Linked DNA regions of Sus scrofa. The protein of the gene in region 4 purifies or fractionates together with the protein of the main gene of each other region. This does not show direct contact. Links are inferred from orthologs where the notes say so. Each region holds a gene or a part of one and is shown on either strand. Other genes may lie near its edges. The genes, in order: MED16, MED18, MED31, MED9, POLR2B, CDK19 and MED8.

Region 1 (3,975 bases), on a different chromosome or scaffold from region 4:
AATCCTGCAGGTGACATTTGTCTCTTTCCCCCTGTGTATTTATTTATTTAACTGTTTATATCAGTACAGACGCCTGGACATTCGCTTTCTTGTTTGGGTTACAACACAATATCCTTTCATTTTGTTGCTCAGATTGTTCCAGGTTTGGATACTGGGAGCTCTTTCAGTGATTCCTGTCTCACTGAGGCGGGGTATTTATTTATTTGAGCACCGGGCTCCTCTGCATATTTGTGCTGCCTTCTAGAACCAGGCATTTCGCCCAGGAGCCCAGTTCCTTTCACTGGGGCAACGTTTAGAAACCAAGAACTGGGTGCTAAGTGTGCTGAGTTCCATTTTAACAGGCATTTTAAAAAGTTTTAAACACAGATGCTAAATAATGGAAATCCAAATGGCTCAGAGGACATCAGGAGATACTGGATTAACCAGCTTGGAGGCTCCCACCTGTGAAGGGGACCGAATTTCTGGTGCCTGGAGGCCAGTCTGGACTTCAGGGCGCGGGTGTGGTGGCTCTAGGGGACTCCACAGGCCTCCTGCACTGACACACAGACTCGGTCCTGCGGCTGCCCCTAGCTGGCTGTTTTCTTCCCACTCCGATTCCCTGAGCCCGGCCCCCATACCTTTGCCCAGGCGCTAACTGCAGCCCAGTACACCTTCCCCGAAATATCAGGAGGTCTTCCTAGAAAAGACTTTCCCAACTGGGGAGAGCCCGACAGAAAAAGAACCAGCTTTTGATAGCGGGAGACGAGTGAATCCAGAGAAGCCCACGACTGGTTAAGCCGTCTTGCTTACGGGGAAAAGAAGCAAGGAAAAGCAAAATATGGAACGCTTCACGAATTTGCGTGTCATCCTTGCGCAGGGGCCATGCTAATCTTCTCTGTATCGTTCCAATTTTAGTATATGTGCTGCCGAAGCGAGCACGACACCGGGGTTAACCCGACCGCTATTTATAGGGCGGAGTATAAAATACTTTACGCTAAGGGTGAATTCCGTTTAGAAGAAAAATACTCAGTAACTTGTCTCTTCTTTTCTGATATCAGTGCAACAATAGCTTAACAGAATGAGGCTACTCACTGAAGTTGAGAAAGTGTTCTTTCACGAAATATAATTCGGGTGGCTGTTGGGAAACTATCAATGTATGTATGCAAATTATATCGGTAGTGGGGCGGGGCCGGAGCCGCTGCTGTCCCAGAAGTCTCCGGGAAACGGCCGCGCTACGTGGGCGACTCGTTGATCCGGGGAAGATGGCGGTGCCGTAGCCGCGCCGATAGGTGGAGTGCAGGCCGTGGCCGTCCGCTCGGCTGGGAGAACAGGCCGTCCCGGTGAGCGGGGACTGGGGACTTGGGCGTTGGGCCGGCCTCAGGACGGTGCCTACGGCCGCGGCGGCGACTAGCGGGCCGGGGGCGGGGCCTGTAGGGTTAGAGGGCGGGCCTGGAGAGCAAGGGGTGCTGGGTACGCGCCCGGGAGCACGTTGGGCGGGGGGGGGGGGTCGCGACGGAAACTTGGGGGAAAGTCTGAGGCGTCTGGGAATCCGGGCACTCCGAGCTGGGGAAAATCGGGGCTGGGCCTGGAACCTGATCAGGGGTTGGGAGGTCTAAGGCTGTATTTTCCTGGGGAGGGGCCTGGGGATTCTGGTGGGCTGGAAGGCGGCCACTGGAGACCAGCACCTGGCTATTGGGTAGTGGTCCCTGGGGTGGAGCCTGAAGTGGCAAAAAGAGGCGGGACTTGGAGGGTTGGGAATTTGGAGGTGGTTATAGGGAGGCGAGTTGTTTGGGAGACCCTGGGGAGAGAACAAATTTAAGCTATCCCTGGGAACACAAGGGGCAAATTGGGACTGGGGTCTGGAAAGCAAATATTGTAGGGGGCGGGGCTGGAGAGCTTTGAGGGCAGAGCTTAAAGACTGCTGAAGGGGCCTCTGGGCAGGGCCTTGGGGTTCCTGGCCAAGGCTTGAGGAAGCGGGAGGCCTGGGGGAAGTGATTGAGAAAGATGGGTTGGTCATACAGTCTCATTGGGTTCTGGTAACGGTGAAAATAACCGTAATCAATGCCCGGCACATAGACAGCAGGTGGAAATGTTCATTGTTTCCGTTGCGGTTGTTACCTTTGAAGTGCTGCACCAAGCTGCTGCCTGCCCCCCATCCTGCCTCCTTGCCTCTGCCAAAGGCTTCTCTAAGGATAGAGCAGTCCCACCTCTCCTCACTGCTTCATGGTCCCCATCATTGTTCACCTGGACTGGCATGGTCACCCCCACCCTGTCCCTAAGCCTTTCTCTCCAGACAGCCAGAGGGGTGTGTGAAACATAAGAAGGTCTCAGCTCCCCTGGGGCTCCCACCTCACTCAGGGTGAAAGCGCAGGCCCTGCATGACCCACCCCACCCTCACTTTACCCCTCCCTTCCTCTCACTCAGTTCCAGCAACATGGGCCCCCTGCCGCTCCTTGATGACCCTGGGCTTGGTCCAGCTTCTGGGCCTTTGCACTGGCTGTTCCCCCTGCCTGGGATATCCTTCCTCCAGGCTGCATTCCTGGATCCCTCACTTCTACGCTGGGAGGCCTCCCTGGCCATCCATGTGTCAGATATAGCTCCCCTGACATACACAGAGCAGGGATTGAGTCTTTGGGTCCCTGCAGTGACCCACCATCCAGCACTGCGCTCTGGGCCCTGAGGCCCTGCATGAACGTCTGTGACAAACTGGTCCTCCCTCCCTCAGAAGCTGGTGACCGCCCTCTGTGTATGACCTTGGCAGCCGGGCACCATGGACCTGGCGTACGTCTGTGAGTGGGAGAAATGGCCCAAGAGCACGCACTGCCCTTCGGTGCCCCTGGCCTGTGCCTGGTCCTGCCGCAACCTCATCGCCTTTACCACGGATCTCCGAAACGACGACCAGGGTGCGCCCCCTCCTGCCCCCCGCATGGGCTCGTGCCCCAGTGCCCATGGACCTCCAGGCCTGTCCAGTCTCTCAGGGTTCCCTCATGTGTGATGAGGGGTGGTGAGGGCCCAGAGGGCACCTGGCACCAGGGGGCACTGGAATCACCCCCAGGGGATGGACCTGTCCAGATGAGGGTGGTCCCCAGCCCCTGCTGAGGCTCCTGCCTGAGTTTTCCAGACCTTATATGTCACTGCTTGGCTTCTGAAAGCCTCTGAGCTGCAGCCTGCCTGCTGGGCCTGTGTTCTCGCTATTGTTGAATGACACATGCTCCTAGAGGAAAGGAGAAAAACACAGACATTTTGGATGAGGGGAAGAAAAAAAGGCATTACCTTCCCCAGAGAGCCACTCTCTGTTAGCATTTTGGGTTTGTTTTTTTCCAGTTCCATTTTCTATGTCTCTTTTGAAAGTGGTTGTAGCCTCTCTGGAGGCAGAGTCATGGACCTGCTCCCATTACCCCTGGGGTCATCAGGCACTCGAGGCCCTGCCATTGTTGCCGCTGACCTGGCCCTCCTTTGCAGACCTGACCCGCATGATCCACATCCTGGATACGGAGCACCCCTGGGACGTGCACTCCATCAACTCGGAGCACAGCGAGGCCATCACCTGCCTCGAGTGGGACCAGTCAGGTGAGGGTGGGGCTCACCCTTGATCTCAAATCCCAAGCTTACTTGTTCTGTCTTTTCCTGGTCATGTCCCCACTGTCCAGAACTAGGATGAAAGCCCTGGCCTTGTGGCTTTTCGGCTCCTTCTCCTCCCATTTTTGGTGACCAGAGTCGTTCCTGGGAGACATGTGTGCCATGCCCCTGCTTGTCTCCCATCCCAGGCCCCAGATGTACTGGGGGGGGTGCTTTGTGACACAGGCTTGCCCCCCTCTTCCCCTGCAGGCTCCCGGCTGCTGTCGGCCGATGCTGATGGGCAGATCAAGTGCTGGACCATGGCAGACCACCTGGCCAACAGCTGGGAGAGCCCAGTGGGCAGCCTGGTGGAGGGGGACCCCATCGTGGCCTTGTCCTGGCTGCACAATGGTGTGAAGCTGGCCCTGCACGTGGAAA
Region 2 (4,293 bases), on a different chromosome or scaffold from region 4:
TATGCCAGAGCCACAGCAACGCGGGATCCGAGCCGCGTCTGCAACCTACACCACAGCTCACGGCAACGCGGATCGTTAACCCACTGAGCAAGGGCAGGGACCGAACCCGCAACCTCATGGTTCCTAGTCGGATTCGTTAACCACTGCGCCACGACGGGAACTCCCTGAATTTTTTAATAATAAAACATTTTTTAAAAAAGATGTTGAACTGGAGTTCCCGTTGTGGCGCAGTGGTTAACGAATCTGACTAGGAAGCATGAGGTTGCGGGTTCGATCCCTGGCCTCGCTCAGTGGGTTAAGGATCCTAAAAAACTGCCTCCCCCCAAAAAAAGATGTTGAACTATTGTGTGAGAAGAGACAGATGATCAAAAGTGGAAGCAATGCAATAAGCACAAAATTACTAAAATAGTTCAAAGGATGATAAACCAAGCCATTGCATGTGGAGAAAAGACATATTTAATATATATTTTGGAAGTAAAATAAACAGAACTAGAGATAAGCTATAGGTGAGAATAAAGTGAAAAAATGGAGATTGATTCCTGAATTCATAGCTTGAGCAACTGGTGAATGACAGGCACTTACTAAGATGGAAAAGACTGAAGGAGGGACAGCTGGAAGAATGAAAGTTAATAACCCTACTTCGTTCATATTAAGTTTTTTTTTTTTTTTTGTCTTTTCTAGGGCCTCTCCCCAGCATATGGAAGTTCCCAGGCTAGGGGTCTAATCTAGGAGCTGTAGCCGCCGGCCTACGCCAGAGCCACAGCAACGGTGGGATCCAAGCCGTGTCTGCAACCTACACCACAGCTCATGGTGACGCCAGATCCTTAACCCGCTGAGCAAGGCCAGGGATCGAACCTGCAACCTCATGGTTCCTAGTCGGATTCATTAACCACTGCACCATGACGGGAACTTCCATATTAAGTTCTTAAATGGATAATTCAAAGTCTAAACTTTTTTGCGAAACATTATAAGGCCTCCTGAAAATCATTACACTGAGTTTTGAGCTTTCTCATCTGGGCAAGTTACTTCAATTCTATTTCCTGATCTACAAGAATTAATAATAGTATCATAAAATTATCATATGATCCATTAATTTCACTTCTGGATATTTAACCAAAAGAATTCAAAGCAGGATCTTGGAAGAGATATTTGCATACACATGTTCACTGCATTATCCATGTTAACCAAGAGGTGGAAGCAACCTGAATGTCCAACAACAGAAGAACAGATAAAGAAAATGTGGTATATACATACTATAGAACATTATTCAGCCTTTAGAAAGGAGATCCTGTCTCGTGTGATAACACGGGTAAACGCTGAGGACATTATACTAAGTGAAATAAACCAGTCATAAAAAGACAGATACCATATGATTCCACTCATATAAAGTTATCTAACGTAGTCAAAATTAGAAACAGAAAGTAGAAAGGTTTGGAATTCTCCTGTGGTGCAGTGGGTTACTCATCCTGTGTTGTCATTGTAGCTGCCAGAGCTGCTCCTGTGGTGTGGGTTCGATCCCTGGCCTGGGAACTTCTATATGCCGTAGGTTCAGCAGAAAAGAAAATAAAAAAAGAAAAAAAAAAAAAGAAAGTAGAAAAGTTGTTGCCAAGGGCTGGGGGGAGGGGAAAGGAAGAATGAGTACAGAGTTTCAGTTTTGCAAGATGAAAAAGTTCTAGAGATTGGCTATACAACAATGCAAACATATTTAACACTACTAAATGTTATGCTCAAAATGTTTAATGCTATATGTTTGTGACCATAATTAAAGCCAAATTGAAAAAAAAAAAAAAAAGAGGTGCCAGAAATTATGTAGCCTTTGTATATTAGCCTTTCATCTCCATGGAACCTGAACAGAAAAGAGGAAATCAGGTAATCTAAGCTCCCTAGTTCACTTACCCTGCAGCAGGTACTCCATCATGTTAATGGTGCCCCCGGTGACAGGCATCATAGTGACTGGAGGTGCCTCCATGCTATCTGTTTAAGTTGAAAGCAACAGAACCGGATTCAGAGTCCCAGTCAAATAAAGCACAGGACACACCTGGAAAAGAGTTATGCTTGTTAATACATCAGAGAGATGGAGAGACACCAGATCTACCTGGGTCATTAGCCTTAACATCAAAAGATTCATTCATTCATCCAGAACTTTTTGAACAACTTCCATAAGTCAGTTTCAGGAATTGATGATACAGAAATACACAAAGGAGGCCTGATCATGGAGTTATAATCTTTCAGTCTCAAGGTCTGAAACCTTCAGTTTCAGAATTTCCTGTGCAATAAGCCATCAAACCGCTGACCCTGGGATTCAATGTCTTCCTTATAAAATGAGGTCGACATTTAACCCCCAAGGCTTTGTGGCTCAGATGACACAATAGCCGTGAAATAATAGAACTGAGAGGTGACTCCCCTTCAATTTGGAGATGAGGATACTGACACTTTGGGTGGGGGTTGGAGGGAAGGATACAGAGCAAGTCCATGGCAGAGATAAACCAGACAAAAATCTAGGCGTTCAAAACGCCTTTGAAAGCGAGCCAGACAGAAGTGCGAAGTTCTTCTGACGATTGAGGTCCTCCTACCCCACCATCGACGCGTGCCTACTCACACCAAAAACACACCTCCGCGCGTGTTCTAGCCTTTTCTGGCAAAGCAGGGAACTGAAGCCACCAGAGCACCTCGGAGCTTTTTAGCGATAATTAGCCCCCAGCACTGAACTTGAAGACCCCCACCCCCCGGTGGAGTGCAACACTTTCTCCCCTCCACTTCCGGCAAAAAGTCTCCGTCGCGCAAATCTTGACATCACCATTCTGCGACGTAAGGGTGCCGGGAAGGCATAAAAATCATCTCTGCGGCCTGGCAAGTAGAAGCGCATGCGCAAACTGCGATTCTGCGTGGAAGAGGGCGGCCTTCCTGAGCGCGTTCCTCGGGGCGTGAGGGGGACCTTGACATCAAAGGCAGTCCTCCCGGAAAATATTTTCCTTTTTTCAAGTGTGACGGCCTGGAGTTGTTTTTGTCAAGGAATTCTTTTGGAACTTACAGGGGGAAAAGAGAGCCGGGGGAAGAGAGCTGAAGAAAAAAAGAGATCATAAAACCAAAACTTCTTTTGGTTGAGTACCTGAAGATAAGAAGGAAAGACATCTTTTACTGTTTAGCAGACTGTTCTGAACAATTAGGGAACTCAGCAATACATTTGATATTTGTTCACTCTTCTGTGTTTATTTTACCTCAATTCAAAAATTTTGGGAGATAAGTAAATTCAGCTCATTTATTGAATGTTGCTTGTGTGTCAAGCATGTAAAATGCAAAGAATGGAGCTAGAGTATGGTGGTTGAGGCACTCCCTGGAGCGAAAAATTTAAGGGGCACCAAAACTCCTAACAATTCAAAAAATTGTAATGCAATCTTTTACGAATTTAATGTGGAAAAAAAATCCTTAATGAACAAAATATTGGAATTTTTGATCTTCACAGCAGCCCTGTAACCCAAGTATAATTATTACTTAATTTTACTAATGGAGAAACTTAGGCATCAAGAAATAACACACCAGGGAGTTTAGACTGGGGTACAAATTTAAGCAGCTGCCTGATTTCAGAACCCACCCTCTTAATTGCTACACATCTTTTTTTTTTTTTTCTTTTTAGGGCTGCACCCTGGCATATGAAAGTTCCCAGGTTAGGGGTTGAATCAGAGCTTCAGGTGCTGACCTATGCCACAGCCACAGCAATGTGCGATCTGAGCCGCATCTGTGACCTACACCACAGCTCATGGCAATCCTGGACCCCCAACTCACCGAGCAAGGCATATAGAAGTTCCCAGGCCAGGGTTGAATCGGAGCTGTAGCCCCTGGCCTACGCTACAGCCACAGCTGTGCCAGATCGAAGCCAAGTCTGCAACTACACCACAGTTCATGGCAATGTTGGATCCTTAACTCACTGACTGGGGCTGGGGATGGAACCTGCATCCTCATGGGTACTAGTTAGATTCATTTCTGCTGAGCCATGATGGGAACTCCTATACAGTCATTTATAATTCCAGTTTCCCCTGCTGTAATTTATACTGTCTTACTCATTTACATTTTTAAACTTAAAAAAAATATTACCCACATTTTATCTGACATTTCAAAAGTAGGATTAAATTAAAAAAAAAAGAATAGGTAAGAATTGGGTGAACAATATGGTAAAACTTGGACAAGACTCATGATTTATAGGGATGGAGAAAATGTTATAAGAATGTGAGGCCTCAGAGTTCCCACTATGGAGCAGCAGGAACGAATCCGACTAGGAACCATGAGGTTGCAGGT
Region 3 (4,178 bases), about 10 Mb from region 4:
AGCAAGTAAGTATCTTCAGTAAATGCTAAAGTTAGTGGGTAAAAGAATGAAATATGAAACAAGAAATTCCTACAGACTCAAAGTATTTCCTCACAAGATACATATTAAATACAAAAGGAAAAATAGTACTTGATATGGATAAAAATAACAGCCACCACCTCAACCAAGTGATCAAAATTAATATCACCAGTCATAGAATGAAGTGACTGCCTGTGACTCCTGACATACCAAGAAGGATATAACATCATTTCTGTGTCACTTATGGAGGGGAAAAAAAAAAGAAGACTTAAAACTCATATTAATGGAGACTAAGAAGACATGACAACAAAATGCAGCATCTGAGCCTAGACTGGATACTACACCAGACACAGGATATTGGTGAGACAGCTGGCAAAATGTGAATGAGGTCTGTTGGTTAGAATATACAGAAATTCTATTATTTCCAGTTGTTTTTAGGTGAAATTATTTCAAGTGGAAGGGTGGGGGTGGGGGTGGGGGTGGGGGTGGGGGTGGGGTAGGGATACCAGTGAGATTACTGCAATAATCCAAGTTAATTTAGAAACAAGTGTTTCATATTAAACTGGTGGAAACTAAAAGGAGCACAAAGAGGCAAAAAAATTTTTTTTCAAATGTGAAACTAAGACATCTAATTAAATATCAGTCTTTGTAATAAAGTACACATATATTTAGGACTATGAAAATTAAACTTACTTTAGATACTTGGCATATTCTGGCTCTTTCCAGTAAAGCAAGTACTTAAGATAATTAACAAAAGCTTTGTCTTTGAAGTAACCTCTTTGGGCAAGAACTGAAAGGCACAAAAAAAAAAAAAATCTGTAGAGCAAACCATCCTTGGACTACTTATTTCTGACTCCTGACATACATAAAGTAAACTTAACATAACATCCCCACCACTAAAAAACACTGAATTCAGGGAGTTCCCATCATGGCTCAGTGGTTAACGAATCCGACTAAGAACCATGAGGTTTCCGGTCCGATCCCTGGCCTCGCACAGTGGGTTAAGGATTTGGCGTTGCCGAGACCTGTGGTGTGGGTCGCAGACACGGCTCGGATCCCGAGTTGCATTGGCTGTGGCGTAGGCCAGGCGGCTACAGCTCCGATTCGACCCCTAGCCTGAGAACCTCCATATGCCATGTGAGCGGCCCAAGAAAATGGCAAAAAGACCAAAAAACAAAAAAAAAAAGACACTGAATTCAAAACACAAGTCCCAGTCTGCTCAATGATAATATATAGCAGTAAAAGTGTAGCAATAATTCCATTCACTTGAGAATGTATAAAAGTAGATAAAGTCATCCCAGGGACTCTGCAGGGGATTGGTTCCAGGAGACTCCACAGATTACCAAAATCCACAGATGCTCAAGTCCCTTATATAAAATGGTATAGTGCGATGACAGTGACAGTACTGTCACCTTCTGTATCTGAGGATTCAACCAACTGCAGTTGAACTGTGGATACCAAGGGCCAACAGTACTATGAATTGCAACTCTTCGGTCAGAAATCATCAATATTTACTCAATTCAACGGGGTACTGCTCAACTTACAATTAAGGTAATTTGGGTTGGCTAAACACTGCACAAATTCCAACTCCAATTGAAACCGAAGTCGATTCCCAGCATCATCTAGGAGAGAAGATATCAAAAATCATCCAAAATAAACGTCACTGAATACTGATTTGTAGAAAGAAAACATCAGTAATAAACCTAATGCTGAAATACACTTCTTCATAAAGAAGGGCATGTGATATTTTCCTAAACTGGGCGTGGGAGGAGAAAAACCTTTCTTAGAAGTCTAAGGAAAGCAAAGCCCTGATTAAAAGGAGTAAGACGTTTCTCTAAACTTAAAGACAAGTCATCAAAGAAAGCAAGAACACACAGGTCAGAATGTTTATGACCCGTGAGCTACCATGTAAGAAATTTAACAGTGATCACTGGGATAGATTAGGGTAACTGTGCCTTAATTTTAATAATGCATTACAAGTAGCTAGGTGATAAAGTTAGTAAACAAAAACAAAGTGAATGCTAAAGCCACCAAGAAAAAGTTCAGAATGCAAGCTGACAGAGGCTACGGCGAGTACACAAGATCAAGAAGCGTGTGCTTAGGTGAGAAGCGTCGTTGGTAGTATAATAACACAAATGTGTCGACGATGTTTTAACTTATGCAAGCTCGTTTGAGACGCAGAAAACAAACCGAAGATTGGTTTAAAATTGAAATTCTCTTTCTCGTTCTCGCCGGAAGCCAGTGGTGCCGGTGTCTGAAGAGCAATGAAAGAAAAAGTGTTGGCCAACAAATTAAACTCTGAAAAGGCCAAACTACCTTCACCCTTCCGACACTAGAAAAGTCCGCGGCCCTCCCGGTCCGAACTCACTCTGCCTGAAAGAAGTCAGGCCTGAAAGGAGAACGCGGGGGAGCAGGAGCGGGGGTTTGGGCCCAGGATAGTTCTACTTGCGAAGACGCGTGGCTCCGAGCGCGACTCACCTGTCTCCATAGCGACGGCGGCGGCCATCACGAGCAAAGACGCTAACCCACAAGCAGCCCAGCACAGCAAACGCCCGGAGCCGCGGGGGACGTGCCGGAAGCCGCCGCTCCCTCTTCCTGCCGCGGGGCAGTGTGGGACGCGAGGGCGGGATCAGCCTCGCGCGGGGGCGGGTGGCTCCGCCCATCCGCCCGCCCGCCCCGGCCCAGCCCAGCCCAGCCCCTCCTCCGCTCGCGGGAGCTCCTGACAGACGAGGGGGCGGTGCGCCCGCTGACCGAGCGCCTGAGGGGCCCGGCCCAGAGTTGCCAAGGAGTTTTCACGTCCCTCCCCACCCCTCAAGGAAACCTTGTCCCCAAGTCCCTGTGTCGTGGCACCCTCGTCTAGCGCTGTACCTGCGTCACACAGGCATGTGACGTCACTCGTCACCCTGTGACGTAACCCGTCGGGGAGCGTGAGGCGGTAAGGCCTCCCGAGGCCCGCTCGGTCCGTTACCCCCGTGGAATGGCCTCACCCCTTCGGGGAAAGCCCTCGCGGCCCCGGGCGGCGGCCGCCCGCTACGAGGAGACGTCGACGGTACGCGTAGAGACCTCGTCCCACCGCGTGGAGACATCCTCCCGCCAGGTGCAGACGTCCTCCCGGCGGGTGGAGACCACCCAGCACTGCAGCGAGGGGCCCTCCGTCTCCCCCTCTGGGAAACGGCTCCCTCGCGTCGTCGAGGTGTCCCAGCACGTGGAAACCTGGCAGCGCACGGAAACAGCCTCCCGCCGCGTCAGGGCCTCGTGCCTGCGGGTGGAGACGACTCTGCACCGCGTAGAGAGCCCGCCGCGGCAGGAGCAGCCGGCAGGCCGCCAGAATGTCCAAAAGGCCCCATGAGATGCTTCCTTCTCCAGGGCCACGACAGGGCCATGGCCCGTGGCCAGTGCAGATCTGCCTCCAGTTCGCAGCCGGCCTGCTGCCAGGTGGACCGATTCCCTTTGGTTTCCTGGAAACAGTCCACAATCCACAAATCAATGTAAGAAAGAGCCAAGCTGTGGTTTCAGGACTCAGCCAACATTCACTGACCCAGCTGCACCTTGGACTATCCTGCCTTTGACCCTGTGAACTGTTTTAACTTGAAACCAGCACAAAAAGTTCCGGGCCCCGGATACTGTATGAATTGAGTCGATGGACAAAGAGGCTCTTTGAACCTCTCAGACAGGTGAGTGTGGGGGTCCTTAAGCCCTGAATGACCTTTGCTGCTTCAAATTTAAGGACAGGGAGCAAGCAGAAATCATGACCAGTGGATTGATTATGTGCCCGCTGAAAACCTGGGGGGCAGGGATCAGACTTTCCTTAATTAGTTAATTCCTTAATTAGTTGGCCTATGTTTATATTTCAAAGCACGCAGTTCTTTTCTTTATGCTGAGCCCTTGTGCATGGTACCCCCCCCCGCCCCCCAGCCACACATGTTTTAACATAGGTCAAGTGCAGTTCAAAATGGAAAATGAAGGTCAACCATCAACAATCAAGAATAATTTTATGGGGGAAAAAACTGTAATTGCAATGTATACATGTAAGGATATCCTGACCCCCTTGCTGTACAGTGGGAAAATTAAAAAAAAAAAAAAAAAAAGAATAATTCTAGAAGGCAAACCTGACCTGTGATTTGAGGAGATGCAGGGGAGGGAGCCTGCATATTGAGCAC
Region 4 (4,064 bases):
CGAGAGAAGATACAATTACTTTATGCTCCATTAGTAAAAAGCAGGCCATAAATAAATACTGGGGAACATATATTTTTTTTAAGTGAAAAGGCTGAGCGGACACTGCGTGAGTGATGTACCGCCTTCTCAGGATGAACCAGCTTCTTTCCTGGGGAGCCCCCACGTCTCTGGGGTGTCAGGTCAGACAGCCTGTCAATCTAGAAGCCGGGGCTGGGTCTCGGGTCTGTCTGAGGACTTGCTCTCAAGCGCTCTTCTTAGGTTGGCCTCTCCCTCCAGCTCCCGAAATGGGCAAGTGTCCCCCCTCCAGAGACCCTGTGCATTATTCTTTCCTAAAAACAAACCTTGGGAAAGTGTGAGCCTTTAATTATCCACCGAGACAGAAGGGGGACCACCTGTGGGCCTGGGGTCTCGAGAGGACTCAGGGGATCCGCTCCTAAACAGCCGTCCAAGCAGCCCTCCCATCCTCAGTCCCGTCACCCTCAATCACCTCTCACCGGAGGCCCTTGGCCCTGCCGCCTCCTGAGATCCGGAAGGGGCCGCGGCCAGAGGCAGCTGCTCCCGGCCGCTTCCTCGGGCTGGGAGGTGGACTAGCCCCCGGCCCCCCCCTACGGCAATCATCCCCTCTCGTGTCCTTTTCAGTTTTACGCTTAAAAGACACTCCTCACTGTCCACTCAGAGGGGACAGAGCAGGTCACACACGGGACGGACACAATGTCTTTCACAGAATGTTCTTGAGAACACCCCACAACAACCTTACGATTTCGGTGTTATTGCTCCCGGTTCACGAGAGAAAAAGATTCAGAGAGGCCGTTTGACCGAGGCCGCCCCACCAGCACACTACAAAGCTACCTCGGAAGCCCTCCTCTGAGGTTCATTGCTATTATTCACCTCTTAGCGACACGAAAAATTACGGCCTAGAAAGGCTCTGTATTTACCAAGATTACAAGGCAAGCAAGCATTAAGACTATCTCATCTCGGAGTTCCCACCGTGGCACAGCGGAAACGAATCCGACGAGAAACCCACTGGCCTCGCTCAGTGGGTTAAGGATCTGTGCCGTGAGCTGCGGTGTAGGTTACAGATGCGGCGCAGATCCTGAGTTGCTGTGGCTGTGGTGTAGGCCGGCGGCTGTAACTCCGATTGGACACCTAGCCTGGGAACCTCCATATGCCACGGGTGTGGCCCTAAAAAGAAAAAAAAAAAAGAGAGAGAGACCATCTCACCTCGCAGCCCATGCTCTCTCTAGTGCACCTCAAGGATCCGTCTTTAAGGCCAGCCCAACCCGAGGGTCCTATCAGGATGCCAGAGTGTGTACACTGTGTGTTTTAATTTTCCAAAAACCAGAACAGATAAATCTGGGTTCATCTGGACAACGCCCTTCCAACCCAGCACCGCCCTGGGACTGCAGGGCGTGCAGGTGGGTTGGGTTTCCTATGTCACTGCTGCCTACGAGTGCTACTTGCTGATCACAGGCTCACGAGAAGAGTCGGCCTCACCAGATAAACAGTATGTTCACACCAAACGAAGCCAAGTTCTAATGTGAGAAAAAAAAAGGCTTTGCAGTTGTCTGAAAAGTGGTGGAAGCGTCAGAGCGTCCCAGGCAGTGACTCTCTTCCACCTAAACTCAAAACAAGCTGGGCCACTGACAACACTTCACTGTTGTGAGCGGCAATTTCATTTCAGCAAAACATCCAAGAGGATGCTGAGGTCCACCTGAGTGTTAGAGCAGAAGGAACATTGTTTTAATTTGCTTTGTTTTGGGTTTTAATGGCTAAACAGACGTGATAAGCTGAGGGGTTTACACCTTGTTACCATGGGGACATAAATAACAGTAAAAACCATTTGGGCAAATGTGGGGACCCTGGCGATTTTGGTGGGGTTTTCCCCCCTCTTTAAGGGTCAGTCTGAAAAACCGGGTCCCCTGAAGACCGGCCTAAAGGAGACATCACCCCTGCGGCATCCTGTTGGGAACTGTGAGTGCGACGGGCTGTCTAGCGGCCATTCCCTGCCATGGCCTTATCATCACCCCTAGAATCTCTTCGCGTTATGGGTTATTCCCGTTCACGACTCTGTTCCTTCTAACTGGTGAGCAACGTGGGCGTGAACCGTATGCCCTTTCAAGTGTACATCCCCTGGCGCTTAGCAGTGTGCCACCCGCGAAACATGACCCACATCTGCTGGAAAAGACACCGAAGCGAGCGTTCTGTCCTTCATTACGTGTGAGAAAACAGCCCCGAGAAGCCTGGCTGGCTCCGGCCACAGGGACGCTGCACCTGTGCACGTGGTGTCCAGGTCGGCTTCGTTTCGAGGACTCCGCCCGGCCAGCACGGGGCCTGGCAGCCCTGAGCTCAGCGTCCGCTCAACTCGGGGGGAGGCTCGCGGTGGTCTTCGCGAGGCCGCCTCCCCGGGACCGGCGGCGCCCCGGAGCTCGGCCCGCGACGGACAGCGGGGGCGCACTCGCGGGCACCCCGGGCTCTTACCACTTGATGACGTTGTGAACCAGCGGGAGGAAGGAGCAGTTCTCCTCCGCCTTCACGACGGCCGGGGACGGAGGCCTCGGCGCGGGCTGCGGCTGCGGCGCGGAGACCGGCGTCGGCAGCTGCGGCGTCGGCAGCGGTTTCGTTTCGGGCATCGGCGGCTCGGTTGGCGGCGGCAGGGCATCCTCGGCCTGCCGGCCGGCGGGCACCCCCACTGAAGCCATGGCGCCCCGCGTTTCCGCGGCGGGTCGGCTGGGCCGCGGCTCAGCGCGCCGAACGCGTCGCGGACTCTGCACGTCACCACCGTGCGCCGCGGGGCGGGACCCAGAGGGAGGCTGGGAGCGCGCGCCCGGGGACGCGGGGCGGGGCCTGGGCGTCCGTTACTAGGCAACGGGCGGCCGGCCGGGCTAGGGTGCCCTGCTTTGGGTTGTGCGTTGAGGCAGCTAAATTGTTAATAGAAATAGATATATGTCAGAAATAACATTTTATTCCTATTCGCGTTACAAAGAGGATCCAAAATCAACAAGTGCGGAAGACTTGAGATAAATAAGGCCTCTTGAAGAGCGGAGGCCCCTGCCCAGCACCTGCTGGGGTCAGGCCCTGGGCCAGCGGGCGTGGAGAGAATCCCGGCGGAGGGACCCACGGTTCCCACCCGCGCAGAGGCCTTCAGGGGAGAGGCCCTGCGCCCGCCCTAAGGACGCAGGAACAAAGAAGCTGCGACGAACTAAGTCAATACTTAATATGCATCTTCTCCATGACTGCTGTACTGCCTGCGGGGAGGGGTGGGAGTTGTCCCAACTTCCACACGAGGCTGAAGGGGGTTAGTGCCAGGAATAAACATGTCCTAGGAGAAGTCAGCGGCACGTACTCTCCTCACCTGTGGGCCCCAGCTCCTTAAGCCTCCAGGGCTCAGCGTCCTCACCCCAAAAGCCTTATATAGTTCAGGAGCCTAAACTGCTTCCCACCTTCCCACACGTGGCCGGCCTCCAAGCTCGCGTTTGCAGGGGCACTCACTCCCTGGGATCTCAGGCCAAAGCCAGGGGAACTCTGGTGGGTTTGTGGTTATGCTCCTCAAGACAAGTCCTCCCTGGCTGTGTAATAAATTCCTGGGCGATGAGAACACACGTTCTGAGCTTCGCTGGTGAGTGGAAGCCCTGCCCTTCCTCAGAGCTTTAGAGACACAAGGAGACTGCAGTCAGGTGCCAAGATGAGAAGCAGCATTGAAGAGCAAGGCGGCCGTCCTAAGGAAAACGTCACTGCAAATATTTCTAGATGCATCCAGAGGGGTCTGTGAAGGCAAGTCCTGGGGAGGCTTGGAGTGGGTGCTTTGGGCCTCAACACTGCTTTCTTGTAAGAACTACCCAGAGAACCCCTGAGGGAGCGCATGGAGGGGGAGGTGAGGACTGCTGCCCAGGGGCCTCTCCGCCCAAAGGAAGTGCCAGGGTCCTGGTGGAGAACCGGAAGGAGGACCAGAGGCACTGAAGGGGCTTCCGTGCCTGGAGTCCTCTGGGGAGGTACGGAGGCTGTACCGGTAAGAGGAATGACCACAGCTACTCTGCATCAAATAGATACAGGGGACAGAGCAGAGT
Region 5 (3,500 bases), on a different chromosome or scaffold from region 4:
GTTTATTATGCTCTGCTCTGCTCTAAAGAAACCACCTCAGGGGCTAAGGGAGTGAATATATAAAAACAAAGAGTAGGAGTTTCCGTCATGGCACAATGGAAACGAATCCAACTAGGAACCATGAGGTTGCAGGTTCGATCCCTGGCCTTGCTCAGTGGGTTGATGATCCGGCGTTGCCATGAGCTGTGGTGTAGGTCACAGACTCGGCTCAGATCCCACGTTGCTGTGGCTGTGGTGTAGGCAGCAGCTGCAGCTCTGATTCAACCCCCAGCCTGGGAACCTCCATATGTTGTGTGTGTGGCCCTAAAAAATGACAAAAGACAAAAAAGAAAAAGAAAAACAATATGATCACCAATGAATACAGGGTTTCCTTTTAGGTGAATGAAAATATTCTGAAATTAAATAGTGGTAACTGCACCATCTTGTGAATATACTAAAAACTACCAAAACACATACTTTAAAATGGTTAATTTTATGGCATGTGAATTACATCTCAAGTTTTCTTCTAACTGAATGTTCTTACCTGTAATTGTTATATTCTCTCTCTTTCAACTGATCAATATGTCTCTTCTTCAAAAGTAGCTTTTGTTTCTCCACAATGAGAAGTGGCCTACAAATGCGACCTGCATCTGTATAGATCCGAATCTCTCTCTCACGAATATCTCTGATCATAGAAACCTATAAGTAAAAGGAAAAAAATACCCATGAACTTTTTATCATTAAGGCTTAGCTAATAATACAAAAAGATGAATAAATTAGCATATAAAATGAACAAATCTTGATTTATCATTGTTCAGATACTAAAAACCTTTGTATAATTTAAAATTTCATGTGAGATGAATATCTAACACCTTGGTAATCAAAGAGATGAGTAACATCTGGTTATAATGTCATGCAAAATAAAAGTGAAGAAAATATAACTGATATCACAAACACTAGCATAGGACAATTTCTTATCTTGCCTCTTTGATAATTACATATACTTCACCTTGTAGCCTTTCAATAACCTGCCCTGTATCACTGTGCCCCCATCAGTCTTTCCAGGTAATAAGCCTGGCTTCTCAAAATCACCTATAGGTGTTGCCCTAAGAAGCAAAAAAAAAAAAAAAGAATTTTCCACTGATCATATGTTGAAATTGTAAAAATTTTTTTTTTTTTTTGCCTTTTGACAGCCACACCTGCAGCATATGGAGGTTTCCAGGTTAGGGGTCGAATCAGAGCTATAGCCACTGGCCTACACTACAGCCACAGCAATGGAGAATCCAAGCCATGTCTGCAGCCTACACCACAGCTCACAGCAAGGCCAGATCCTTAACCCACTGAGCAAGGCCAGGGATTGAACCTGCAACCTCATGGTTCCTAGTTGGATTTGTTTCCACCAAGCCATGACGGGAACTCCAAAAGTATAAAATTCTTTCGGCCACATGCATGGCATGCGGAAGTTCCTGAGCCAGGGATCAAAATGGAACCACAGCAGTGACCCAAGCCACAGCATTAACACCAAATCCTTAACCACTAGGCCACCAAGAAACTCTGAAACTGTAATTCTTTTTTTTTTTTTTTTTCTGTCTTTTTGCCATTTCTAGGGCTGCTCCCATGGCATATGGAGGTTGCAAGGCTAGGGGTCTAATCAGAGCTTTAGCTGCTGGCCTACTCCAGAGCCACAGCAACATGGGATCTGAGCCGCGTCTGTGACCTACACCACAGCTCACAGCAATGCTGGATCCTTAACCCACTGAGCTAGGCCAGGGATCGAACCCTCAACCTCATGGTTCCTAGTCGGATTTGCTAACCACTGAGCCACAACGGGAACTTCTGAAATTGTAATATTTTTGATGTACTGGGTCAAATAAAGTATATTTAAATTATTTTCATATTTTTTAAACTTTTAAAATATGACTATTAAAAACTGTAATTACATATTTAATTCACATTATATTTCTACTGGACAGTGCTAGAAAGTATCAAAAGAATTTTCAGATAGTGTTCCCTAGTGGCTCAGCAGTTTAGGGCTCTAGCACTGCTACTGATGTGACTCTGGTTGCTGCTATGATGCAAGTTCAATCCCTAGCCCAGGAACTTCTGCATGCTGTGGGCATAGCAAAAAAAAAAAAAAAAACTGGGGGGAATGTACAATTAAGAACATAATCAATTATTTAAAGCACTACAAAAAATGAAGTGCCAATACATATAAGATATGTCAAGAAGTAAACAAATAATTTCCTGTGAATTATCTAGATCTAAAATATATTCTTAAAAAGCCAACCAAGAAAGTAACTGCCAATGAGTTGAGAAATAGAAAAACAGATTGGTATTTCTCTAAAAAGTACTTTTAAAAAAGGGAAATCACATCTGGATACCTTTATTAAAGAAAGGATTGGGTCTATTTAACTAGAAAAGGTTTGGATTACTCAGTATAAAACCAATAGTAAATTGGAGTTCTCATCGTGGTGCAGTGGTTAACAAATCCGACTGGGAACCATGAGGTTGCAGGTTGGATCCCTGGCCTTGCTCAGTGGGTTAAGGATATGGCATTGCTGCGAGCTGTGGTGCAGGTCACAGACTCGGCTCAGATCCCACGTTGCTGTGGCTCTGGCGTAGGCCGGTGGCTATGGCTCCAATTAGACCCCTAGCCTGGGAATTACCATATGCTGCGTGAAAAGGCAAAAAGACAAGAAAAATAAAAAATAAAACCAATAGTAAATCATAAAAGTTTGATCAAAAACATCAAGCTGTCCCAAAGCAAAAAACCAAAAGCCAAGATACAGAAAATGTTCCACATTTCTCAGCCCATTTCCTGTCCTTAGAAAACAATCGAGATGAAACACAGTGAGCAAAAACACCATGTGCGGCAATCTCAAACGTCTGCTTTGAACCTTTAAAGAATTTCTAATAGAATATACAATATTCTATTAGAACATAGCTAGTGGAATACAGCTCTATTGCCTTAATAGGAGGACATAAATTGAGCTGTGTCTCCTCAAAGGCCAAACAGTATCATCAGTCCTTCAAGAATACCAAAGAGGAGTTCCCGTCGTGGCGCAGTGGTTAACGAATCCGACTAGGAACCATGAGGTTGCGGGTTCGGCCCCTGTCCTTGCTCAGTGGGTTAACGATCCGGCGTTGCCGTGAGCTCTGGTGTAGGTTGCAGACGCGGCTTGGATCCTGCATTGCTGTGGCTCTGGCGTAGGCCGGTGGCTACAGCTCCGATTCGACCCCTAGCCTGGGAACCTCCATATGCCGTGGGAGCGGCCCAAGAAATAGCAACAACACAACAACAAAAAAAGACAAAAAAATAAATAAATAAATAAATTAAAAAAAAAAAAAAAAAAAAAAGAATACCAAAGAAAATAGGTCTTCTTGAAGGACTGATGACAGGAGCCTGATAGGTCCAAACTGAGGCGAAAGTCAGAAATGGGTAACATGGTGACCTCTGGTTATCAGAAAATAGGAAGGTAAAGAAAAAGTAGGAGACTCCTGAAAAATATACACAATGCTCC
Region 6 (4,084 bases), on a different chromosome or scaffold from region 4:
ATGTGTATCACAATTTAGAGCCATCACTAAAAGATTTCTGTTCTTTCAAATCAATGGTATCAATGAACATAAAACTAATCCTGCTACCCACCCACAAGACATGTGGGTGTTTAAAGCCTCAAATCTCAACTAAACTCTTGGTTCAAGACAAAAATCTTTACACTGATTTTTCTCACACATAATTTAGTGATTTAAAGTAATGCTTTCAGGAAGGTCCCTTGTGGCACAGTGGGTTAAGGATTCCGTGTTACCAGATCCAGCTGTGGTGCAGGTTGAAACTGTGGCACAGGTTCCATCCCTGACCCAGGAATTTCCACATGCCAGGAGCACAGCCAAAAAAAAGTAATGCTTTCAGATTTGAAAAAGTCTTTTTAAAGCATAATATTTTGAAGATATCCAAACTGATCTTTACTAGGGCTTTATTAATTCTAATCAAACAAATTTCACTCAAGGAAAAAAAGTGTATTCAAATCAAGAATTTTATTAGAGGGGAAAATATTCAAAAAGAACAAAGAGAAGCAGGATTTAAATTATCTGATTTTTGTTGTAGCTCATGCTATTCAAATACAATTCATAAGTAGAATTTTTAACTTTTCTCAAAAGCTGCCTTAAAAAAAAGCTATTTTAACAACAAAATTAAAGTACATTTTTTTAAAATTCCAGGCCAAGTACATTACAAAGTTAGTGTGAGGAGGATGAAGAACACTTCTGATTTGTTTTACAGTGTCAACGTCCAAATAGTAAAGCTAGATGTGCTTTCCCCAAATGTATCTGATAAGATTCCCAGAGAGACACCAGTATAACAAGGAGAGTGGATATTCCAAAAACAAAATACAACTTAATTATAGTACTTCACATTCCAAGATACTCAAGCAGGGACATATGGCAATTAACTAAAAGAATCATGAGAAAGGTTTACAAACAACTGAATTCTAGGGGACCCGTTCAGTTATAACAAGAGGAAAAAATTATATGCAATAATAACAACCCTTTACAATGTTAAGTACTTTGCAGTTTTCACCATACTTTATGATAAACCAGTTTATAAAGTTGTGCTTTCTCGTTCCCTGTATAAAATTAGTGCACACACGTACACATCCCCTACCTACTTTGGTCCTAGAGTTCATCAATCAACCTTATCAATTACAACAGAGTGTGGAAGAACGATAAGCAGCACTTCAGATCTTAACTAACGTCACGGTGACGGATACTCTGTTCATTCAGCAATTTTTCGCTATGATCCTAAAACCTCTCTTCCACACTTTGATCGTCTTCAAACACTAAGTGGGACAGGCAGATGTTCCCCGGCTCCCTAACTCTGGGGAAGTGGAATTTCTGCCAGGATGGGCCCTGCGGTGATGACTTGTTTAAACCTACCCTTCTCAGGCAGGGAGCTGGTTCCACCTGTACTGGAGAGCCCTGTGCCCTCCTAAGAGAACAATCAGGACGGGCTTCCTATGATTTTCTTTCAAGTCCAAGGAAAACAAGGGTTCTGGCCCAACTCCGTGCCACTTGAATTCCGTTATGGGTAATCTAGGTGCCCAATAAACCGCAGCACGCAGCCACTTGGCAGAGGATGGAGTGGAGAACCTAAGAATACCCAAGGGGAGGCTGCTGGAGGATGGGATGGGTTACCACACCGAACTCTTAAGTTCTGCGGGCAAAACCTGGTTGGTCTCTCAGAAGGTCTACATTCAAGGGAAGGTGCGGAATGGAGAATGTGAGAAAGCAAGATCGGAGGTGGGCGAAGCGAGGTGGAGAAGTGGCCGGGTTTTCCACAGGGACTGAAGGGACTGCGCGGAGGGGCCAGAGCGCTGGCTCGCCCCCAGGGAAAAGGTGCCCAACGGCTCAGACCCGTGAGGCTGGCGAGGACCCAGGCACTCGGCAGCCCGACGGAGACCTCGGCGAGGTTTCAAACCTCCGCCCCCGGGAGGCGCTCAGCCGATTGGAAGTTCCACCACGACCGTCACCAACCGAGGGCCAGAGCGGCAACTCCTCCGCAAGGCTCTCCCAGACCTCTGCGTCTCCCCCGGAGACCAAAGCCCCACAAACTCCACATCCAACCGAGGTCCCAACTCGAGTCCCGCCGCCAGTTCCATGCACGCGGAGGGTGCCCTCCGGGACGAAACCGACACCCCGCGACGGGGCTGCGCCGCAGGAGTTTGAGGGGCGCGACGGGGCCCGCGCGAGCGGGCAGAACCCGTGTCCCTCAGAGTCCGCCTCGGGACGCGGCCCCGGGACCACGTCCGCCTCGCCCCCCGGGCTTGGCCCGTCCGGGCTCCGACCCACCCATCCCGCGCGGTCGCGGGCAGGGCGAGGACCCGAACGAGCCTACTCCCCCCGCCCCTGCTCTTACCCATCTTTTCGCCTCGCCTTGTAGACGTGCCCGTAGGTGCCGCGTCCCACTTTGCACCCTTCGTACTCAAACAAATCCTCCACCCGCTCCCGCTCCGCCGCCAGCTTCGCCTTGAAATCATAATCCATTGTCTGCTTTCCCCATAGAGGCACCGGGACGCGGGGGCCGCCGCCACTCAGTCCCTCCTCCTCCTCCTCCTCCCCCCCGCGACCGCCGCTCCACTTCTCCAACAACCGCCTCTGGGGCGCGCGCGCGCCGCCCGCCGCCCGGCAGTCCGCCTTCAGCAAGGGACTCCTCGGCGGCCACGGCGGCCACCTCCTCCACCTCCTCCTCCTCTGCGGCGGCGGCGGCGGCGGCGGCAGCGGCGGCGGCTGCGGCTCCTACAGGCACCCTCAGTCCCGCCTCCCCCTTCATTTCCTTGTTTTGGAACCTGGTGGGCCGCGCCGCGGCTTCCTCGAGCTCATTAACGAACCATCCCTCCCGCCCCCGAGGCCGCGGAGACTCCTGGGAAATGTAGTTCCATAAACCTCAGGAACAGTTGAGTGATGCGGTAGAATGAAATACAATACCCAGGTTACCTTGGGCCGCTACAGCCCCGCCTCTACAAGACATGCACGCTTGCGCACTGAGGCCGCCCCTCCCCCCTCAGGTAGCTTTGGACTGCTAGTTCCTGTGAAGGTAGAAAGTGCAAACTTGCAGTGTGCTTTCTGCGAGTCTGTGGAAGCTGGTGGAAAGAAGGTCCTTTTTCTGGTGTAAGGAAGGTACTCTATTATAACTGCCCCCAGGAGAGGAGGAGAGTGGAAAGTATTTAACAAGGGCTTTGCCCACGAGTTTCCTCCAGTGGTTTGCTAGACGAGGACTGTGGTGAGAGCAGTTGTACTGCAGATTGTTGTTTGTTTTTGGTGGCAGTTGGTCCGCCTCCCGCCCCGTCCCGCATCCAACAGCTCATTGGCGGAGACTTAAGAATGACGTCCTCGTTGGTGCGTGGGTATCCCTGCTTTGGCTTCTTTCCGGCTCTTGATTGGTAATTGGATGTGCTAGGTTCTTTCTGATAGGTTAATCTTTTTTCTTTGCGGTGCAAAAACCGTATTTCAAAAACTGAACTTTTAGCGGTTTCCTGGTTCTACCGTCGGCGTCGGCCTGAAAACCTGTAACTTAAAGGTCCTAGCAGCCAATCATCCTTGGCGCTCTAGTCGTAGTCTTCTCCTAACATAAGTGATTCCCGTAGCCAAGCTTTTGGCCAACTGTCTGAGGACTATTAAAGTGCCTGCAGGATGCAGCAATTTAAAAACAATCATTTGTATTGGATTGTAAAGAGTGTCTTAAGGTTTATGCCTAACAGTGACGTTTTCCTAGAATGTTTAAATCTCCTTAAGGTGAATGTTGGTTCATTATTGCGTGCCTAAAACGTATCAGATGCTTGGGATACAATCTTAAAAATCATTGGTGCTATGATAGGACTTAACATACCACATTCAGTGAAAGCACAAGAGGAGGAAATAGTCAATTCTACCTAATGTGGTAAGGAAAGTTAAGAGTGACTTGCCTGCTAGGTTTTGGAAGAAACTTGGAAAACTGGATGGGGAGGGGGTTCATTTATTTATTACAACAGTAAGTTTCCTGGAAAATTTCCTCAGATCTTGAAGTAAATCGTGAAGTATCTGAGTGTCTGTTATTTCCAGGTACTATGGTAAGTGCTGCAGATAACCAGCTAAAATTGGTCTTTTC
Region 7 (4,170 bases), on a different chromosome or scaffold from region 4:
GCTGAGGTTCCATCTACCTGTGGTCAACCACAGTCCAAAAATACCATATGGCAAATTCCAGAGGTAAACAGTTTATAATTTTATTTTATTTTATTTTTGTCTTTTTGCTATTTCTTTGGGCCGCTCCCGCGGCATATGGAGCTTCCCAGGCTAGGGGTCCAATCGGAGCTGTAGCCACCGGCCATCACCAGAGCCACAGCAACTCGGGATCTGAGCCGCGTCTGCAACCTACACCACAGCTCACGGCAACGCCGGATCGTTAACCCACGGAGCAAGGGCAGGGACCGAACCCACAACCTCATGGTTCCTAGTCGGATTCGTTATCCACTGCGCCACGACGGGAACTCCATTTATAATTTTAAATTGGGCACTGTTCTGAGTAGTGTGATGGATTCTGGCTTCATCCTGCTCTGTCCCAGCTGGGATGTTAATCATTGCTTTGCCCAGCCTATCTTTGCTGGTACAATACCCATCCAGTTAGTAGTATATGCAGTACAGGGTTTGATACTATCAGTTTGAGGCACCCAGTGGGGGTCTTAAAACTTATCCCCCACCAATAAAGGGGGGCTGCTGTATTTGACTGGGGTGAGAACAGCGGCAAAACAGGAACCATAGCTCCACTGTTATCACTCAAACTTCAGAAACTAGCTAAAAGCCTCCTTTCCGACCTAAATATAGGATCTACATTTTCAAAGTAGACTGGACCTAAAAGACTCAGCCACGTCCAAGGCAAGAGATCCCATATGAATACTGAAGTGGGAGGACCTCCTCCCAGAGACATCAGAGGGTGAGAATCAAAAGCTAGAAAGACCCTGAGTTGGAAAACTGGGCATTTCTCTGCTTCCTTACCAGGGAGGCCCAAAGCCAACTTCAGTGTTACACGTTGGGAAACTCAGCTCTTTTTAAATCAAAAGATGTTTGCAAACTGATAAATGTTTACATCACTGGCAATGTCCTATCCACCTGGTGACCTGGCCCCCCCCACCCATGGAGCCCTCCCCAGCTTGCCCTGGCATTGCTTACCAGGTCAGCCGGTCATACTCGTTCTCCAACTTGTAAATGAAACTCCCCAGTGAGTTCTTCAGATCAGCCACTTGACTCAGGAGTGCATCTAATGATGCCTCAAGCTGCTTCTCCTCCCTCTGCACCAACAGGAATAGGATGTTACTCAGATGAGGGTGAGGGTGGTGCCCACAGAGGCGGGCTGAAAAGCCAGGATGACAGTGCGCAACACCAGTCATGTGACACAGGATCTCACTGGCACAGGGAGAGCCAGGCTGTTTTCTATCTTTGGTATCAGGGTTATAGACAGCACCAACCCTCAGACCTTTCAACCCACTCGCCTGGCCTAATTCCTCCTACCTGCTGGTTCCTTTCTCTCATCACCCCTAATCCGTGCTTGGTTTCCTATCACATACACTATACTCTCACTCACTGAGCAGACACAGCAGACCTAATGCCTCGGGGTCATTATCTCTTGTGCCACTCTGCAGCATAGGTACTCTGACTTCTGCTGTCCTAAACCTGCCTTGGGAGCCTGGCTGTTCCTGCCAATGACACAATTTCTGAAAAATCTACCTACATGTGAAGGTTCCTTTGAACACCTGCCACTGCCACCACCACGGCCATTTCCCCCTTTCCTCTGTCCTCAGCATTTGCTGTTTCAAGCTCTTTGCTGAATTAACCGGCACTCTTTTTTTTTTTTTTTTTTTTTTTTGGTCTTTTTGCCTTTTCTAGGGCTGCTCCTGTGGCATATGGAGGTTCCCAGGCTAGGGGTCTAATAGGAGCTGTAGCCACTGGCCTGCGCCAGAGCCACAGCAACGCCAGATCCGAGACTCATCTGCAACCTACACCACAGCTCATGGCAACGCCGGATCCTTAACCCACTGAGCGAGGCCAGGAATCGAACTCGCAATCTCATGGTTCCTAGTTGGATTCGTTAACCACTGAGCCACGACAGGAACTCCATTAACCTGCACTCATTTTATCTCTGTGCCAAAATTCCTGTGCCCCTTTCACAAGCTTAGTCAAGCTATAAAAATTTACTGACAGACTACCAGGTGCAAGAAACTGACAAATGAAAAACAAAAACAAAAATGCACATGCCCCTAAGTACTAAACTATTTTAAATGCTGGTGAGGGGTTGTCTGCCAAGCATTTCCTGTCCATCTTGGTTCTTCATCTTTACTTCATTTCATCCTTAACTACCACAGGGCACAGGCTAGGAAGGAGGTAGAACTGCCTTGCGAACTCGCCAATATACAAGACAGTAGCCTTGATTCCGGGTTCCAGCCACTGGCCTCAGACTATATTAGTTTGGCTTTTGTCACTGCGGCCCCACAATTCCTTCCACTCTCGGGCTTCTCTCCAGTTATCGATCCTCTGCTGTGTCGGCAGCCAACAGCGGCCATTCAACAGCCCGGGCCGGGACCTGAGCCAATGCGGCACCTTCTTGAGCTGTCTTCGTTGGACTGCATCTTAACCTTCCCAAACGACCGACCCTTTCCCACCCCCAGCAAGTCGGTGCCGCCTTCCCCCTCCCAACTCAGGGGCCGTCTCGGTCTCCCAGCCGGGCTCCACCCCCATCTGTCATCAGTGCCGCTCCCTCTCCAGTGGGCCTCGCCTCCATCCCGCGTCCCTTTAGCCGTCGGCCGATGACTCTACCCACTCCTCTCAGCTCCAGCTCCTCACTTTCTCCAGCCCACTCTCCGTCCCGGTACCCCGACGCTGAGTAGCGGTCACGAGCGCCAACCCGGTCCTCACCTGCATCGCGGGAGCAGAGGTTGCGTCAACCACTTCCTTTTCCGGTTTCCAAGTCAGCCAATCAGAAAGTTGGGATTCGATCCTCCCATTCGTTTCCGGTTCCTTCGGGCGAGAGGCAGCCGGGTCAGGGGTCACGAGCAGAAGGGCTTCTCTGGCCCGGGCCGGCGCGGGAGGGCTGTGTGATGGCCTCGGAGCGCCCGGAGCCGGAGGTGAGGGGCGGGCGGGCGCAGCGCTGGTCCCCGAGATCCGCGGGGGAGGGGCCGGCGGCCGGGTGCGGCCGTGGCCTCCTCCGGGTCTGGGGGCGGCGGGGGTCGCCCCGAAGGCCCGGCAGTTGCATCTCCTCACCCCGCGGTCCGCACTTTCCTTGGGGGGCTGGAGGAGAAGCTCGTCGCTCTGTTCTGTTTGCTCAGATTTCATTCACGTCGCCAACTCTGGGGCCCTCGGGTTCTCCGACTTCCTAATGGTATTAACAAAGCCTTTATTTTGATTTTGCAATTTGATTTTACTTTGCTGGTGCTTCATATCTTCACGTATTAGAATGACATAATCAGCATGAATTAATTTAGTTCCAGCGCCATGATTTTGAAAGGCAGCTTCGGTTTCGTGGGGAAAATACATATATAGATTCTTTTTTGATTCGGAGTGAAACGTCGTTCACTTCGTTTGGTGCTGCCCTGTAGCCATCTCTGCAACTTCGGGCAAGGCTTGACTGTTTCCTGCTTCTTAAACACCTGTCTTAGGGTGTTTTGTGAGGATCCCATATTTTAAACCAGAAAATGCACATGAGGTATCCCTTAGTTGTTGAGGACCATGCAAGGAACTTGATCTGCATTGTGTTATTCAGACTTGTGCAAGGAAGGTGGCTGTGTCCACTTTCATTTATATGTAAGACACTGGAAAGTGAGAGACGTTAAGTACCTTACCCAAGTGCTACCCTCAGCCAGGGAGTAGCAAAGTTTTGAAGTTAGAAGATCTGGTTTGAAAAGAACATCACCAGGAAAGGTGCCCAGTATTAGAATATGATAGACGGGAAGGGTGAGAGACGTGTGAAATGAAATGACACAAAAGAGTTGTCATAACATATCGAATGCGTGCCGCGTCGTCCTGCTTTACCCCATCAGTTGATACCCTCAACCCGAAGAAGCAGACGTGATTATTTATCCCCATTTTTCAGTTGAGGAGACGGAGGCACAAAATGTTAAGGGTAACAAAGTTACACAGCTAGTTAAGTAGCGGAGCTAAGACTCCCAAACAGGTGGTCTGCTGTAGTATGGTGGTCATAATGTTTCCAGTATAAGCAGTACAGTTGCCACAGGATGGTAAATCTCCTGATCCTTGGCATGTGATGTAACAAGACCCAGGATTAAACGTGGTTGTAGGAAACTACCCTATTTAAAAGAATCAATG

What was found.
Region 1: the proteins of MED9 (region 4) and MED16 purify together in Homo sapiens (affinity purification with mass spectrometry; 5 studies listed by BioGRID and IntAct, with this or other methods). This does not show direct contact. The link is inferred for Sus scrofa from reciprocal best matches to the Homo sapiens genes MED9 and MED16.
Region 2: the proteins of MED9 (region 4) and MED18 purify together in Homo sapiens (affinity purification with mass spectrometry; 6 studies listed by BioGRID and IntAct, counting the BioPlex papers as one, with this or other methods). This does not show direct contact. The link is inferred for Sus scrofa from reciprocal best matches to the Homo sapiens genes MED9 and MED18.
Region 3: the proteins of MED9 (region 4) and MED31 purify together in Homo sapiens (affinity purification with mass spectrometry; 4 studies listed by BioGRID and IntAct, with this or other methods). This does not show direct contact. The link is inferred for Sus scrofa from reciprocal best matches to the Homo sapiens genes MED9 and MED31.
Region 5: the proteins of MED9 (region 4) and POLR2B purify together in Homo sapiens (affinity purification with mass spectrometry; 4 studies listed by BioGRID and IntAct, with this or other methods). This does not show direct contact. The link is inferred for Sus scrofa from reciprocal best matches to the Homo sapiens genes MED9 and POLR2B.
Region 6: the proteins of MED9 (region 4) and CDK19 purify together in Homo sapiens (affinity purification with mass spectrometry; 7 studies listed by BioGRID and IntAct, counting the BioPlex papers as one, with this or other methods). This does not show direct contact. The link is inferred for Sus scrofa from reciprocal best matches to the Homo sapiens genes MED9 and CDK19.
Region 7: the proteins of MED9 (region 4) and MED8 purify together in Homo sapiens (affinity purification with mass spectrometry; 5 studies listed by BioGRID and IntAct, with this or other methods). This does not show direct contact. The link is inferred for Sus scrofa from reciprocal best matches to the Homo sapiens genes MED9 and MED8.

What each region holds. Positions count from the first base shown.
Region 1 is NC_010444.4:77,489,778-77,493,752, forward strand, and holds the start of MED16 (mediator of RNA polymerase II transcription subunit 16), read left to right. Parts: upstream 1-1,175; 5' UTR 1,176-1,319; intron 1,320-2,704; 5' UTR 2,705-2,749; coding exon 2,750-2,882; intron 2,883-3,441; coding exon 3,442-3,549; intron 3,550-3,807; coding exon 3,808-3,975. UniProt on the Homo sapiens protein: Component of the Mediator complex, a coactivator involved in the regulated transcription of nearly all RNA polymerase II-dependent genes.
Region 2 is NC_010448.4:85,382,592-85,386,884, reverse strand, and holds the start of MED18 (mediator of RNA polymerase II transcription subunit 18), read right to left. Parts: upstream 2,801-4,293; 5' UTR 2,600-2,800; intron 2,039-2,599; 5' UTR 1,970-2,038; coding exon 1,897-1,969; intron 1-1,896. UniProt on the Homo sapiens protein: Component of the Mediator complex, a coactivator involved in the regulated transcription of nearly all RNA polymerase II-dependent genes.
Region 3 is NC_010454.4:50,727,303-50,731,480, reverse strand, and holds the start of MED31 (mediator of RNA polymerase II transcription subunit 31), read right to left. Parts: upstream 2,801-4,178; 5' UTR 2,525-2,800; coding exon 2,497-2,524; intron 2,273-2,496; exon of another isoform or gene 2,209-2,272; intron 1,641-2,208; coding exon 1,563-1,640; intron 809-1,562; coding exon 712-808; intron 1-711. Other genes in the region: C12H17orf100 (uncharacterized protein C17orf100 homolog), read left to right, coding at 2,996-3,367. UniProt on the Homo sapiens protein: Component of the Mediator complex, a coactivator involved in the regulated transcription of nearly all RNA polymerase II-dependent genes.
Region 4 is NC_010454.4:60,931,200-60,935,263, forward strand, and holds the start of MED9 (mediator of RNA polymerase II transcription subunit 9), read right to left. Parts: upstream 2,801-4,064; 5' UTR 2,700-2,800; coding exon 2,479-2,699; intron 1-2,478.
Region 5 is NC_010450.4:56,260,230-56,263,729, reverse strand, and holds part of POLR2B (DNA-directed RNA polymerase II subunit RPB2), read right to left. Parts: intron 679-3,500; coding exon 524-678; intron 1-523. UniProt on the Homo sapiens protein: Catalytic core component of RNA polymerase II (Pol II), a DNA-dependent RNA polymerase which synthesizes mRNA precursors and many functional non-coding RNAs using the four ribonucleoside triphosphates as substrates.
Region 6 is NC_010443.5:76,790,677-76,794,760, forward strand, and holds the start of CDK19 (cyclin-dependent kinase 19), read right to left. Parts: upstream 2,801-4,084; 5' UTR 2,485-2,800; coding exon 2,357-2,484; intron 1-2,356.
Region 7 is NC_010448.4:167,859,993-167,864,162, reverse strand, and holds the start of MED8 (mediator of RNA polymerase II transcription subunit 8), read right to left. Parts: upstream 2,801-4,170; 5' UTR 2,770-2,800; coding exon 2,692-2,769; exon of another isoform or gene 2,630-2,691; coding exon of another isoform or gene 2,624-2,629; intron 1,143-2,623; coding exon 1,024-1,142; intron 1-1,023. Other genes in the region: protein SZT2, read left to right, coding at 2,946-2,972. UniProt on the Homo sapiens protein: Component of the Mediator complex, a coactivator involved in the regulated transcription of nearly all RNA polymerase II-dependent genes.